2 linked regions of the Rhinolophus ferrumequinum genome follow. The protein of the gene in region 1 purifies or fractionates together with the protein of each later gene. This does not show direct contact. Links are inferred from orthologs where the notes say so. Each region holds a gene or a part of one and is shown in the gene's direction. Other genes may lie near its edges.

The links. Proteins that work in one complex are often made in the same cells at the same time.
Region 2: the proteins of ITGA3 (region 1) and CD9 purify together in Homo sapiens (affinity purification with western blotting; 3 studies listed by BioGRID and IntAct, with this or other methods). This does not show direct contact. The link is inferred for Rhinolophus ferrumequinum from reciprocal best matches to the Homo sapiens genes ITGA3 and CD9.

What each region holds. Positions count from the first base shown.
Region 1 is NC_046304.1:33,419,099-33,427,404, reverse strand, and holds the start of ITGA3 (integrin alpha-3), read left to right. Parts: upstream 1-5,226; coding exon 5,227-5,432; intron 5,433-8,306.
Region 2 is NC_046293.1:23,514,024-23,521,400, forward strand, and holds the start of CD9 (CD9 antigen), read left to right. Parts: upstream 1-3,921; 5' UTR 3,922-4,071; intron 4,072-4,378; 5' UTR 4,379-4,490; coding exon 4,491-4,556; intron 4,557-7,377. UniProt on the Homo sapiens protein: Integral membrane protein associated with integrins, which regulates different processes, such as sperm-egg fusion, platelet activation and aggregation, and cell adhesion.

The sequences.
Region 1 (8,306 bases):
GGTATTTTCAGCTGTAAAGCGGGAGACAGCTCCACCTCATAGGGTTTTAGAAGATAACATACATAAAGGGCTGGGTCCACAGGAGGTGCTCAGGAAACAGTAGCTCCCCTTCCACATTCAGATGTACATCAAACACTCCGAGACGTGTAGTCCCGTAGGCAAACACATACGAATGCATAAGGCATCGTGTGCACAGACACATGTTCCAATCAACATGCACGTAGGAGTGCTCCACAGACAACCACACGTGGTCCTCCCCGCCCAGAAGAGTCTCTAGGGAGTTAGCAGGAGTTTGGGGGAGGGAAAGGTAGATGAAGCCCCTCACCTGTCCAGCTTTCTCACCTGGGCACAGAACCCTGCCAGTAAGTAGTCTCCCCCAGAAACAGCAGGGCTCCAGGGGGCTGGCGACTCAGCTCAGCCAGGGCTACCACGTGGGCCCCATGGCCTCCCAACCTTGAAGGTGCCACCTTGGCATGAGATAGAGAATGCTGGTGGAGAGCCCACCAGAGTCCTAATCTCCAAGCCAGGAGGGCAGGCCATGTGCAGCAAGGCCAGGCCCTGGGTGGCAGTGAGGGGACCATGGAGAGGGTTGGAGGAACTAGAAAGACGGTGTATGGGGGGTGTTGACTGGCAGGGAAGTTTCCTGATGTTTGGGGCCTGCTCACCGGGCGCCTGAAGGCGTCACTGCTTATTTATTCCCAGAACCCCTCTGCTCTTTCCCTCTGCCACCCCAGGCGTGCTCCGCCACACCTGCGCCTGAAGTCCAAGTCAAAGCAGTGTCCTGGGGCCTTCTCTCTCACTGTCTTCCGCCCCCCCTCTGCCCCTCACCCCTGGCTGAAATTATTACAGCAGCCCCTTCCTGCTGGCTCCTTCTCTCTTGGCAATGCCAATTTCATGCTGTAGCCAAAACGTTCTTTCTGACACCCCCTCATTGCTCCATAAGCCCCAGCCCTAAACTACAATGTCATGTGGATTTAGCCTGTTTAAATTTGAGAGCTTTCAGAATGTGAGGCCAGGATGAACGCCCGGCCTCTGGGAAATGCGCTGGCTCATCTCTGACACCCCTGGGGCTTCTCAGCTCTGTGCCAGTGCATAGTAGGTTGTCAGTGAATGTCTGAGGCCGACAGATTCTGAGCCAGGGAAGTTGCCGGGACTGGGCTCTCGCCCCACTCCCGCCCCCCCACGCCTGTATCTGGGTCACTGGAGAAAGGAAATCTGATAAACCCATTCAAGCTTCACAGCTCCTCCCTCTCTCTCCAGTTATTTGCATTTTCAATTCAAATCAGAGATAGAGACCTGAGTCTGAGTTCAATAGCAGAGATTTGGTCCACTTAGTTCAACAAACGTTAGGAGCCTTGGGGCACAAAGGATACCCGTAGAGGAATAATGAGGAATTTTCCACAGCCCTTTCTTTTCACAGATGAAGAAATCGAGGCTTGGAGGGGGAAAGTAACTTGCCCCAGGTGAGAGAGCAGAAGGTAGCCTGCATTCAGCCCTCACGGCCCCATAATTCCACTCCATCTCACTATCTCTCCACTAACTGCCTGGGAACATCCACGCACTGACCTTCCTGTAAAAAGTGAGTGAGCAAGTGGTGTGATCTGGGCTCTGGGAGACCAAGGTGGGGTGTGAGGGGGTAAGCAGGCAGACGAAGGCTGGTAGAAACACCGCAAGTGCCGAAGAAATGGAAAGTGCCTTTATAGAATTTTGATGTCATTTTTGCGACAGAAAACTTCACCCCAAACCAGACCCCAATTTTTCTGCTTTCTTCTCTCCTGAGACGCCCTCTTGCTAGTCCTTTCCTTCTCCCTCGTCCAGGTACTCCTCCTCCAGGAAGCCTCCTTGACCCTGCAGAACCTATAGTTGCATGTTGTCATGGTCCTGCAGAGACAGATGGACCCCACCCAAGGTTTAGTTCAATGTCAAGACTGATGACGCCACACACAACATCAAGAGAGAACGCAAAGTTTTATTATTTACATAATTGAGGTCTCTAGGGAAGCAGAGCAGGCCTCTCTCAAGCAGGTCTGAAATAGCTTGAGAGAGCCAAGAAAGGAGATTGGCCCAGTATTTTTACTGTGCTTAGGGAATGAGGTCATGGAAGGGCTTTTTTTGTGCAGGAAGGACTTGCATGGTTCAAATCTCCCACGGACTCCAAAGGAGGGAGCATAGCACCCATGCTTTCTCAATCAGCTCGCCCAGGTGTGGGGCACAGAGGGAGGAGGGAGAGGCAACAGCTTAAAAAGCTGTCAGCAGTCAAACATCAAAAACAGGACTCAGACTCCTCATCACGCATGTTATTCACATGTCCTTGTTTCTCTGTCTGTGTCTATTTCTAGGTGGGTCCCTTCTCCATGAGGAAGAGTTGACATGATGAAGTCAGCTGGGGGATGAGATGAGATCGTGGATGACGTCACTGAGACCAGAGCATTTCGGACATTTGGCATGAAGTTGGGATTTCTCTTTCTGTATCTCTCCAGCCCAGAGGCCCTTCCAGTCTCCAAGTCTCCCTCTACCATTCCATCTCCCCCAGATCTGTCTGACACTCCCCCACATTCCTGAGCTTGGGCCCTCCCCCAACCAGACTCCTGCTCCCACATTCCCTGTGGACACTCCCCTGGAGTGGAAAAACCATCCCTCATCCCTTTCCTGCTCCCAGCCCCAGGATCGGACATGCTGGTCATTCCTGTTGGGGATGGCCAAAGAGATAACGCCTGGCATGGAGCCCTCCTGTGTCGTCACCGGGCTCTTAAAGCTATTTCAGGCGGGACCCCTGCCCACACTGTGTTCCCTGGCCCCTAAGCTCTTGGCTCTGGCTGCCTCCTCTTCTCCTAGAACAAGGTGGAGGACCCAGCAGCCAGCCAGGAGATCCAGGTAATGGTTCAACTCCCCGCTGAGTCAGTTTCCTGTTCCTTGACCCCAGATATCTCCTGACCCCGGGAGGCTCTGTGCCACAGGTGGACCATGGAGAGAGGCTGGGTGGCTCTGGGAGTCACAGCTTGGGAACAAGTGTTCTCCTCAGGGCAGACAGGGATGAGTGTCCTCTCCCCAAACAGCACAGAGAACACTGTTATCGCAGCTGCTTCTATGTAGGGACATCTGGCTGTCTGACCAACATCTGCCTGGAGTTTGTCTCTTAAAGACACAGCTGTGATTGGTGGCTTCCAGTCCTAACTCTGCTTCCCATGAGCTGTGGGATCTTGGACATCCAGGTTCCCTAGTAAGTCAGATGAGGATGATAATCCTGAATTTATAGGGAGCCTGGGAAGATGAAATGAGAGTCTGCATGTGAAATGATTCATCAACTGTAAAGTTTGGCCTGAGTCCTTCCCAGGCTCTGAATCTAATTTTATACTCCTACCTAATTCTTTACTCTTTTCTTTAAAGAGGGCTCCAAATTGTACAAGCTTCAAGCCCCACAAAACCTAGATTTGCCCTGAGTATTGTACAAATGTTAATTATTAGCTTAATTGGTCAAGAAGGGCTCTGAGGTCAGATTACACGGAATTAAAATCCGAGCTGTGTGGCCTTCACCAAGTTGCTTAACCTCCCTGAGCCTCCGTTTTCTCATCTTGAAACAGAGATAACACCTCAGAGATTATTGTGAGGATTTAATAATATTTGTAAAGCATTAAGCATACGTCCCCCGGCATAAGCACTACTACATGGGTCTTATCATTATTACAAACTCTCTGACAGGGGTTCTAAATTGAACTTCAAGGGAGGGCTGAACTGGAAAGTTCCTTTACCCTAGAGAAAAGAATGGTCAGAGGAAATGGGTCTTTCCACCGCAATATGGGGAAATCTGAGTTAGACCCAAGAAATCTGAGTTAGACCCATCGTGACCTCTTGAATTTCCTTTTCAGTTGATTCTTCTGCGGGTAACCAAACATTTAGGCCCCACCCACCTACCTCCAACTGGCACCGCCCACTTACACACCTGCGGGGGCTGGCGTTCCTGCCCAGTCTCCAAACAGTCCGTCTGAGCCTGGGAGGGAGCTCAGGGTACCTTTGGGATTCTGGTGGGCTCGTCCCTGAAGGCGAATGAGAAATCGGTGCAGTCTGGGCCCAGCTCCCTAGCCACGGAGGGGCACTCTTAGGAGCAGGGACTCATTTCCACATCGGGCTTACAAGGGAGACCAGAAGGCGCAGCCCTTGGGAGAAAACGCTGTCTTGTTGCTAATTACGATTACAGATACTTGTTTATTTACTACTGCTAAATATCTGTCTGGCTTTGCGGAGGGACCATTTCCAGCTGGGATCAGGGTGGGTGGAGGCGGGTGGGCAAGAGAAAAAAATCTCGACGAGGACAGCAAAGAGGCTGGTTGCGAGGAGGAACGCCCAGAGACCGCCAGCCACCTCTCTGGGACTCCCAGCGCGGCGGAGGCGAGTGGGGCATTCCAGCCAGAGGCGAGCGGGGGTCGTTTCCCAGATGCGCCAACGCTGGGGCTCTCCCGCCGAGACAGCAGAGATGCCCGCTCCTGGAAAAGCCTTTCCAGCAGCAGTAGCAGCAGCAGCAAACCCGCGGGACAAATCCCATCCCCGGCCCCGCTGGTCCAATCCATCTTGCTCCGGAGGCGACGCTTCTCTTGAAAAGCAAGGGGCGGGGAAGGGAAATTCAAGCCTTTGGGGGCTCCCGACAGGTGTTTGGGGGAGAGGGCGGAGCCGGTTTGGGGAGGATGAGGGAGGGGCAGTGCTGCCCCTTTAAGAGGCGGCGGCCGAACCGGGACCTTTTCTCTTCCCCGGAAGGAGAGCGGAGCCGCGACTGGGCGCGCAAGGTGGGGAGGTGCAGAGCTGGGCGTGGGGAGGCGGGGCGCGCGCGCGGGCGGGGGATAACTCTCCTTCCCTCCGGTCCTCCTTGCTGTCGACCAGTCTGCCTGCATAGATCCGCCGCCCAGCCGGGATCGAAGGCTACCGTGCGGCCAAGGGGGCGCGGCCGTGAAGAACTGGGGGCAGGGTGCCCGGGGCGGGTGGGCGGTGACCCGACGCTGGGCAGGCGGGAGACTAGACCCGCGGACCTCCGAGGGGAATCGTGAGCAGCGCAGACCCTGAGCGGACGCGACACCGACCAAGGCTGGGGACCAGAAGCTGATCAGCACAGCGGGGCTCAATTACGCGGCCGGCTGGAGTGTTTTCCAGTGGCGCAGGGAGCAGGTGAACAGGTTCTCATTCCCAGCTCCACGCCCTCACGCTCTCTCGGCCCGGCCCTCGCTCCAGCTCGCAGCCATGGGCCCCGGCCCCCGCCGCGCCACCCGCGTCCTGCGCCCGATGCTCTGCGCGCTTGTCTTGATGGTGGCCGTCGGCGGCCGCGTCGCCTCCGCCTTCAACCTGGACACCCGATTCCTGGTGGTGAAGGAGGCCGGGAACCCGGGCAGCCTCTTCGGCTACTCGGTCGCCCTCCACCGGCAGACGGAGCGGCAGCAGCGCTACCTGTAAGTAAGGCTGGCGGGGGTGGGGTGGGAGAGAGAGTGTGTGTGTGTGTGCAGGGTGCGGATCCGCAGCTGAGTCCAAGTCTTGGCCCGCTCGGGCTTCCAGGCCTGGGAGCTGCCTGCTCCCCTGAGCGAAGATTAAGGGGGCGGGGACCCGGGCAACCCTCCTGCTGCTGAGGTTTGGCGGGAAGTGGAGGGATTGGGTATGGGGTGGGGGGCAGTAATCACTGGCAAATGCTGACCCAGCCAGAACCTGTCTAGACGCAGTCCCTCAGCCCTTCACATCTCTCTGAAGAGCAGAAGAGGGGTCCCCGTTTCCTTAGCTCCCTTCCATTCTGTGAATTGAGTACCTAGTATACTGCATGCCTCTTCTCTCCAGGGCTGGGAGCGTGGGAAAACTGCAAGATAAACACCTAGTGGATCCCCCTTCCCCGTTTTTTGGGGGAAGCATCTATGGGCACATGCACTTAAGCCCGCTTTCTTTACACCTCGCATTTAGTCTGCGGCCAGGCCAGCCACACCCTCTGCAGAGCCAGACTGGAGGACTTCTCAACCAGCGCTTGGCGCTTGGCGGTTGGGGTGACTTGGGGGTTGAAGTGATGTGATGAGAGAGTCTGGGCATTTGGAGCTGTCCAGGCGCTCCCTCTGAGCTCTTGAGGTTGGAGGAGTAGAAGAAAGAGGAGGGGCTGTCCCAAATCCTGCTTGGTCTCCTGCCCCCCACCCCAACCCAGCAGTGACGCCCTCCCACCAGACATCTTTCCTGCATTCCACAGATTCATGTTGAATCTTCAACCCTGAGTGTGTTTGTTTGGTTTGAAGAGCGAAATGGTGTTTTTTTCTTTCTTCTGGTCTCCTTCTCCAACAGCTGCAAGAAGAAGGAGGGGGGAGAACTAGGCGTAGGGGAGAGAGGGAAGGAGATTGCACTCAGCTGCTTGTGCCCCCACCCCCACTCCTACCATACACACTCATGTCCAGAGGGGCATGTCCAGGTTTCAGATGTTTCTGTGCCATGGACTCAGTATGTTGAGGTCAGCAGTTGGGGAAGAGGACAGCTGGGGGAGGGTAGGCTGCCCCAGGAGGGATGGTGTTTAGGACAGGCCAGGCAGCCCCTGTCACTTTGGGCTGGGTGACCTACCAGACATCTGCACCCTCCTGGCACCTGACCCCGCTAAGCAAGAGGACACGATCAGAAAAAGGGTGTGTGGCTGGGGCCTGCGGAAACTTGAGGAAACTTGGAATATCCAAAGTCCAAACTCTGCCCCAGTCTTGGCTCCTGCCCTGCTGGCCCAGCCCCTGCCCAACCTACCTGAACTTGGCCTTGATTCCATCTGCAGAGCATATGGCCACCACACCCTTCCCAGTCCGGCCCCAGCAGCTGCCGTCTGGCCTTGGCCAACCCTCCATCTTTCGGAGACCCTAAGTGGCCATCAACACAAGTTTCTATATTGGTGCTCTCTCTGCCCCCACCCAGAAAAAGATCTTCTGATTTCCCATGCCGAATCTGCATGATACAAGGCGACACAGTGTAAAGAGAAGATCAGAAAAGCAAGAGGAAATAATGGAAAGCTAGAGTCAATAAAAGATTCTGCAATACCACCATCCCCCTGTGCTATGTGACCTTGAACAAGACAGTTCCCTTATCTGGGCCAGTTTTATCCAAAGAGGGATTGGACCTGGATCTAGATGTTCCTTCCTGCCTATGTTGCCCTATGAGAGGCAACTTGGCATTGTGGAGAAAGCAGCAGCTCCCGAGTTCCACTGCCAATTTCCTGTCTTGGATCTGTCAATCATACCTCCGCCTTAATTTCCTCACGTGTTAGGGGAAGGGGAACAGCACGCCTTCTTCATGGGGTGACGGGGGGCTTTAATGAGATAATGTGAATGAAATGCCCTGCGTGTGCCAAGGCGCAGCGGAAGGCTCGTGTACTGAAGCCAGAACCTGGATGCACCTTCACCACCCAGGGGCCTCACCCAAGATGGCTGAGCCCAGGGGTTCTACTTTTTTTCCTGGGCAGTTAGAGATGACATTAGGCCTGCCAAGAGCCCAGAAGGTCCTAAAACTAATGAACCTCAGAGAAGCAGGTCGTTCCAGATGGAGTTCGGGGTCACTCTCTTGGGTATCCTCAGTCTTTCCCAGGGATGGTTCTAGATCTTGGCTCATCTCCTCATCTCACTGAATTCTGCCCGTTGGCTCTTTGGGAGAGCCAGCTGGCCCAGCTGGGCTTAGCTGCAGCCAGCTGTGTAGCCAGATGTGAACAGCTGCCTGAGTGCACAGCTCAGGGGAACCAGCTACTCAAGTTGGCTCTTAATCTGTTAGCCTCAAAGTCCCTTCGGAAAGGGGGATGGTTCATGGTCCTGAACAAACTCTTAGCCTGGGGTTCATAGGAGGTTTTCTGGAGGTGCAGGGAACCCTGAAAGTCTATGTAAAATCATATGTATTTGTTCATTGTTCTGGGGGTCAGGAGGAGGGGAGAGCATAGCTTTTTCATCATATTCTCAAAGAAGGCCTTAATCCAGAAATGGTTAAAAACCCAGGTGTGGCCCCTCTTGGTTCCCTGTCATCTCCATCTCTGGACTGGTGTTCCCTGCCCACAACACCGGAGGCTCACCCCAACCCAGGCCCCAATTTCTCAATCTCTGGACATGAGAGGTGAGGAGCAGGGCAGAGGACCAAGGTGCTTTGGGCTTCTTGGTGAGATGCATGAGGACGCCTGGGAAAGCAGAGGGACTCTTCCTCCGGGAGATGGTCACCAACCCTGCGCACCCCCAGCACCTATCTGCCTTCCCTCCTGGGAATCCAGGTGTCCTGGTCTGGCCTGACTTTATGGGCTATGGGAGGTACCTCTGGGGCTCTCTCTCCCTTTCGCCTTTGCCTGG
Region 2 (7,377 bases), on another chromosome or scaffold:
GGGCAGAGAACTAAAGCCTGAGGAACACCCACTCCCTTGCAGTTTTTCCACACATGTTGGCAGACAGCTCACTCTGTGCGAGGAAGGGACTGACTGCTATGGAGAACACAGAAACTAGTCAAGAGAAAGTATTCTAGAGGAGCTCACCACCAAGTTGTGCACAGAGAACTTGATGGAGGTCAATGAGTAACGGGTGAGACAGTCAAACAAGGTGATCCATGGAGCAGTGAAGGAAGCCTTCTTGAAGTGGTGGCATTTGAGCTTAGTAAGAGGAGCAATAAAGAACTTTCTAGAAGTGACGGGAGTGAACCAAGATTATACAGCACCAGAGACACTGAGGGAAAAGTGTCTAGAAAGAAGGAATGGTCAGCAGCAGCATCAAGGAGAAAACAATACTCAAAATGGCCATTGGTGTGGTGTCTGGAAGGGCCTTAGTGGCCTTGAGAGTGTGGGTCCTGCCTCCCAGAGCAGGGATAAGCAATCCCAGGGATATGGATTTGGGAGGTCATTAGTTTACCAGGACCCTGCATGTTCAAATCTAACCACCAGGCGGGGCACACGAGCCAAAGTGGACTCATCCTGAACCAGGGGCTTTTCCAGAAACAGGATGCCCTGAGGGAAGAGAGGAAAACTTTTTAAAGATTTTATTGGGAAAGGGGAACAGGACTTTATTGGGGAACAGTGTGTTTTTTCCCAAGACCCATCAACTCCAAGTCAAGCTGTTCTTTCAATCTTATTTGCGGAGGGCACAGCTCAGCTCCAAGTCCAGTTGCTGTTTTTCAATCTAGTTGCGGGGGGCACAGCCCACCATCTCTTGCAGGAATCGAACAGGCAATCTTGTTATTGAGAGCACGCGCTCTAACCAACTGAGCCATCCAGCTGCCGGGGAGTAGCTCCTTGTCTTTACTCTAGTTGCAGAGGGAGCAGCTCACTGGCCCATGGGAATTGAACTGGCAACCCTGTTGCTCAGAGCTCGCACTCTAACCAACTGAGCTATCCAGCAGCCCCGAAAGAGGAATGCTTCTCCCCTTCCAGCACCACAAAACCTGGAAGGCCTCATGTCTCCATGTGATCTCTGACTCAGGGACTTATCCAGATTTTCCCCATCCAGCTAAAGCAAACCATATTTTTTCCATCTCTCCTTTTCCTGGCTGCCTATAACACACTTTGGCCCAGAGGCTTACTGCACCATAGACTGTCACAACGGAGGAGACATCTAATCCAAAATGCTCATTGTACAGATTGAGGCCCAGGGAGCCTGTGACTTGTCCAAAATAAACCAAAGGGTGGGACCAAGAATAGAAGTCAGATCTCCTTGCTCAGAACTATAAGGCCTCCTTTGATTATATGTAATTTGGTGCTTAACTATAGCCCCCCTCACAATTGTTTCTTGAGTGTAAATAATAACAGTAATAGTAACAACAGCCAACATTCCTTGAGCACTTCTGGGGCAGGCACTGTACTAAGTAAGCCATGTTGTGGATTACTTTATTCAATACTAGCAATTACCCTAAGAAGTAGTTTCTATTATAAGCTTAAACATTCACTAAACACCTCCCAACTTGTGCTTGTTAATGGGGGGGCGGGGGGGGGGATTTAGAATATAAAAAGATAAATTCTTCTCTTTCCGTAGACTCTGGCTGTCCAGCACAATGGGACATTGTCTGCTTTGCTCCCTCCCACAGTGCCTCACATACTCCAGTGCCCAACCATCCTCAGTGGACACTGCATTAGGGTGAGAGACTGAGGTAAAGCATTACCAAAATTCCTCTGCTTGGCCATGCTTGGCCACATTTAAGGGAAGCCCATTTTCTCTGCTTCTTTTTCCTCCTCCTCCTCCTTCCGTCCCAGTCTCACCCACTATTGGTCATCCTGCCCTGCAGCCAGCTGCCTGTGGTGTCATGCTCTGAGCCTTTGCACATACAGTACCTTCTGCCTCCAATTTCCTCCTGGTCTTGTCTGCTGCCCCGCCCTCCAAAGTCAGTTGCTGCAGTGTCCCCTGCACTGGGAAGCCTCTCTCCTGACTCTGGCAGAGTTAGAGATGCACCATGTCCCTCTACCTGTTCCTAGGCCATATCTTCCCCCCACCCCACCCCCCCCCACACACACACACAGGCAAAGATTCCATGGGCTCGTGCTCATCTATCCTATACCGTGAGTCTTCCACGTGGGGTAGAGGTCATTGCATCTCAGCATACGGTACAGTATGTGACACATAGCAGGCTCTCAAGAAACATGAAAAGTACAAATGAACGAAGTCCTCCCTAATCTGGTACCTACGACTCTGATTTCCATCTCCCCCTCAGCACCACCCCACCTTGTCTGCTCTTCTGGTTTGGCCGCACTGTCTCCTGTCTCACCCCATTACCCCACCTTAGTTCACTTTGTCTCTCATCTGAACTATTCAACAGCCTCTTCCACGCAGTCCTCAGCTCCCCTTCATTTTCTGCTGCTTCCCTCACATCACCAGATTGCAGGTCCCCAGATACGACACCTCAATTTTCAGTCTAATTCCTCAAAGCCCTGAGCCAAGGCCTGGACAAACAATGGTCCTTATCCTTAAGGGGCCAACTGCCTGCCCCTTCTGCCCTCCCCCACTCAACTAACATACAGATGAGAAATGAACTAAATCACACAGCCAATAGAATCCTTCAGAATGCAAAGTCAGGGGCTGCGAGGTTCCCTTCACCCCACCCCTAGCTAGGTCGCTACCTTCACCTCCCCACATACTGCCCCCATGCCCCCCTGTGAGCTCTAGCCCAGACCCCAGACAGCCCCAGCCCCAGGCATCACCCGAGATTCTCTGACGACTGCAGTAACTTTCCCTGTGGTTCTGCAGCATTGCTTCCAAGTCTGGGTCAGAGGCCCTTCCTTTGAGCTCCCTTAGCCCTGCCGCACACACATATACACACATATAGTATATACAGCACTCTAATCCCCTTGCCAGCCTGCCTGCATACCTCCCCAAGTGGACTCAGAACTCCCTAAGGGCAAAAACAGGATCAGCTCCTTCCTGCTCCTAATGCTGTACCCTCATAAGTAGACAGTGAAAAATGTTTTTGAATGAATGGAGATAAATCTAACAATGAAAATAAACAGCTAAATAAGAGCTACCAGTTGCTGCTGATGGGTGAAATTTTGAGTTACATTCTTTTTGCTTGTTGGTCTTATTCTGATGTTTCTGTATTGAGTATGTTTTGCTTTTGTAATAAAAAAACAAAAAGAACACTAAAGGACACTTCATTTTGAAAAAAATGCAGAGGGGTTTTGGGACAACAGAAGAAGGGAAACGTCCTCATCCTTTGGTGAGAATCAGGAAAGAAATGTTTCAAGAGCCACAGAATTTCTGCAAGTGAAGAGGGGAGGGCCAACCAGCCTTAGGGCACACACCACTGGCACATGCAAAGCCGGGCCAACAAATGTGTGGAGTGCTGGGCAGAGCAGAGTGGTTCCTTACAGATGCAAGATAAGTTATTTCCACTTAGGTCATTGAATGTGGGGAGCTACAGAGACCTTTGAGCAGATGAAAAACATGAACAGAACTTGGTATCCAGAGCATTAAAGAGGGAGTAGTGGACGAAGTCCAAAAGGCAAGAGGGTGGGTGGTGTGCAGTAGAGGCAAGAGGGAAGCTGGGCAACAAACTATCTTCCCCTCTCGGGGCATCTAAACCACAAGTCTAGGAAACGCTCCCGGATTGCCCAACCCTCAGACATATTACTATTTGGTGACGGGCATTTAGAATTATTTCGGTAAGCCGCCGACCTATCTTCCCACCTGGACTGCAAGCTTCTAATTCCTGCTACTCCACATGAGGTGCCAAATACAACCGTGCTCAAAGAGTGAAGGTTTGCACGGAGCCGCCCCAGGAAGAAATAAAGCCAGGCAGCTTCCCTTCAAATCGAAGCCAAAACACGAAGTGCCCTCATTGTGCGGGCAGCCAGCCTTGAGTAAGGGGATTATATCCCGACGACCTGACCCGGAGAAGGTCTCTCAAAGTGGAGGCCTCGGGCAGGAAGCCCGGACTCGACCAGGCGAGAACCAGAACGGCGAGGCTGCCACAAAACGCCCAGGTTAAAGCAGCAGGGGGTGGCAGTCTGGAAAGACCCCTAGACGGTTGGGAGGAAAGGGGGTGGATGGCGTAAGAAAGGGACCGCCAAGTCGGTGGGGAGCGGACGGAGCCCGAAACTATGGGAGAAAGAGGGAAGGGCGCGGATGGGGGTCTGCAGGGGCTGGAATCTCGGGAACCTGGGCGGGGGCGGGCGGCGGGCGGGGGCCGGGGCAGGTGGGGCCGGGGGCGGGGCCGGGGCGGGGTCCTCGGCACATGCGCACTGCAGCCTACAGGGCTCCGTACCGAGTGGCACTTTTTTAAAAGTGCAGCCCGGAGGCCAAGCGGCAGCCACCCGCACGTCGGTCCCAACCTGGTCCTGCCCGTCCCCGCCGCGCGCCCCGGTCCCACACCAGTGCAGTTCAGGCCAATCCAGCCCGCACCATGCCGGTCAAAGGAGGCACTAAGTGCATCAAATACCTGCTCTTCGGCTTTAACTTCATCTTCTGGGTGAGTGAGCGCGACAACCGCGCGTGCTTCTCTCCGGGGCCACCTGTCCGCCCCAGGGACCCTGTCCGCGGTCGCGGGTACGGGTAACTAAAACCGCCCGCCGGGTAGACTCCGGGCCGAGGAGAAAGGGCACGGCGGGCGCCAGCTGGCAGCGCCGCCGGGTCCGGAGACGGGCGGGGCGGCTGTGTTTGTAGGGGGCTCTCCGAAGCCGGGCAGGCAGGAAGACACGGGGTCCCCAGCGAGCTGGGGCGTAGAGACCCGCTCCAGGCCGCTCCTTCGCTAAGGGTGTGGGCCGGGCTGTGTGTGCCCCTGCGAGTACGGTGAGGGAGGGAGTGGAGCCGCTAGGGAGAAACGGAGCACCCCTCCCGGGAACTCGAGGCCCTGGCCCAGGACGGTAGCGGAGAGTGCAGTTCGTGACCGAGGTGAGGTCTCACAAGTGGCAGGGCCGCGATGAGGGGAGGGTGCGGGCGCCCTAAAGGACTTTAGTGGCTCAGGGAGAGCTCCGCCAGGAGCTGTTGGCACTTTTACACTGGAGAGGAAGGAGTGCGGATGGCCGGTCCCGGTCCCTAAGTGAGAGGCGGGACCACCCCCCTCCACCCTCAAGGAGGAACCTTCAGCCCCCTCAATTCTCTCAAACTCTGATTCTGAGCCGCCACGAGAATGTCCGAGCTCCCTCGAAACTACCTGAAAGACTAGCTTGTCTTGATTTTTTTTTCAAGGGCGATAAGTATCTGAACTGGGGAGAACGCTGGGAGAGTTGGGGAGAGGAGGGGCAGATGCAAGTGCGCACTTTTAGTGGGATTTCTCCAGTTCCGGGAGAGATTAGGTGCGGGCCCCAGAGCCCTCTGGCTTCGTCCCCTTCCGCCCCCACCTCCCCCGAGTGGCAAGGCGTGGCCACGAAAGCGCGCGTTCACCTGGAGAGGACACCTGGCCGTCCTCCAGGACTCCCGCTGCTGGCCGCACTCAGCCTTTCTGCAATAGGAACCCTGAGGGAGGCAGCAGAAAAGGGGAGTGTCTCCTCCACACCTTCCCTTGGAGGATTAAGGGACCACCCAGAGACGGAAGCAAGGAATAGGGAACCTTCGTGTTCTGGTTTTGAGGGCTACATCCGCTGCACATAGATGAACGGTCTTTGCCTTTCTGCAGTCAGGAAGGAGTTTGGAAAGGTAGCCCCTGTGCCACGCAAGAGAGACGGCTGTAAAAACGGGCATGCCACCGGAGGCTTATAAAAAAAATGTACTGATTCCCTTGGAGCTGGTCCCTGGGATCCCCACAATCCTCGGGGCAAATCTCCTGAAATTTAATCCTTTCTCCAGAGCTGACAGGGTAAGATACTGAGCTGCCCTTGCAAGAGTCACCACACCCAACACGTGCTAGTGTGGCTGGCACACAGGTGTGCCCCTGCCCAACCCTTGGCCTGCTTTGGGGAGACCCTCCTGTGGTGGGCACCCTTCACCCCCTCCCATCCCCTATTCCCAGCACCCAGCCCCTATAACTGCCAGGCTCGGCTTCCTCTTCTCATCAACCCCAGCACCAGAAAAGAATGTCGAAGGCAGCCCGCCCCAACCCACCCCACTCTTCTCCTTTGGGGAGTTTTCCTCCCCTCCCTAGCACAGTCTCTCCCCTGCCAGTCTGTTGGTTAGTCCTCAGCTCTCCTCCTAGGCTGCATCAGGGTTTGGGGCGAGAGTGAACCACAGATTACCAGTGTGCCTCCATACCCCCATCTTCCCAGTGGCACAAGTAGGGCCTGATGGAAGGCTCCCAGGGACACTGCGGCATCTGCTCAGCCTCTTACTGTCTCCATCCTGCCACCCCATCCATATTCAGAGCTGCTCCTGCCTGGACTGAGTGCTGTTGTTCAGGTATGTGGCCTGAAACAGAAATGACTCACTCTGGGAATGTTGGGTTTAGAGCTAGGAATGACTAGAGATTATTCACAGTGAGAAGGCAGAGAACCAAAGAGGGGGTGATTTGCCCAGGATCACAGAGACGGAGCCAGTACTACACCTCCAGGTTCCTTATTCTAGTCTTGTCCATCACAAAACCATCCAGGGGACCTGGTAATGGGCTTGTGTGGGGGGTAAGCAATAGCTACGTTTTCCTGAATTATTGTTCAGTAGTCCTGTGTCAAGGTCCCTATAGAGATGAAGCCCTCATCCCCCAGGAGATGATGGAATAAAGGAATACTGTGATCCACTCATGTAGCGTTTTATAGTCTGCAAAATCCCAAGCTCCCGTGATATAGCCAAAGCGGGAAGCATTATCCCCATTTTACTGATGATCAGGAAACTAGTCCCCAGAGAAGTTAAGTGACTTAGCCAGGGTCATGTGGCAGGATAGCATCAGAAGTCAGTTTGAAAGCAGATCTGGTTGGCTTCAAATCCAGTGCACTTTGTGTTATGCAAATCACAACATACTGCCATACCCAGCTGGGTGGGAACAAGCTCTCAAAAATCTTTTAAGGGAAGCTACTATCTAAGGGAACTGCTTGTATTATGGTGTCAGTACTTCCTTTTCTCTCTTGAGACCAAAATTTTATAAACTTGGAATTGGGGACCTGATGTGGGCCTTGAAAAGCAGGAGTTGTGAGGCCAGGGGCCACCAGCACCTCCTGAACACAGGATGTGGAGAGGGCGGTCTAGCAGGGATCCAGACAGAAGAAGCCTACCTCAGTGGGGCAGGGTGAGTGTGGGGGTGTGCTTCCTGGCCCCCTCTCATCCCGGCAGGACCCTCGGTGACAGCCAAGCCTGCACTGCCTCCCCTCTCCAAGCAGGGCCTCTGATGCCCACAGCCAAGCCAACAATCAGTCTGTTCTCCCAAC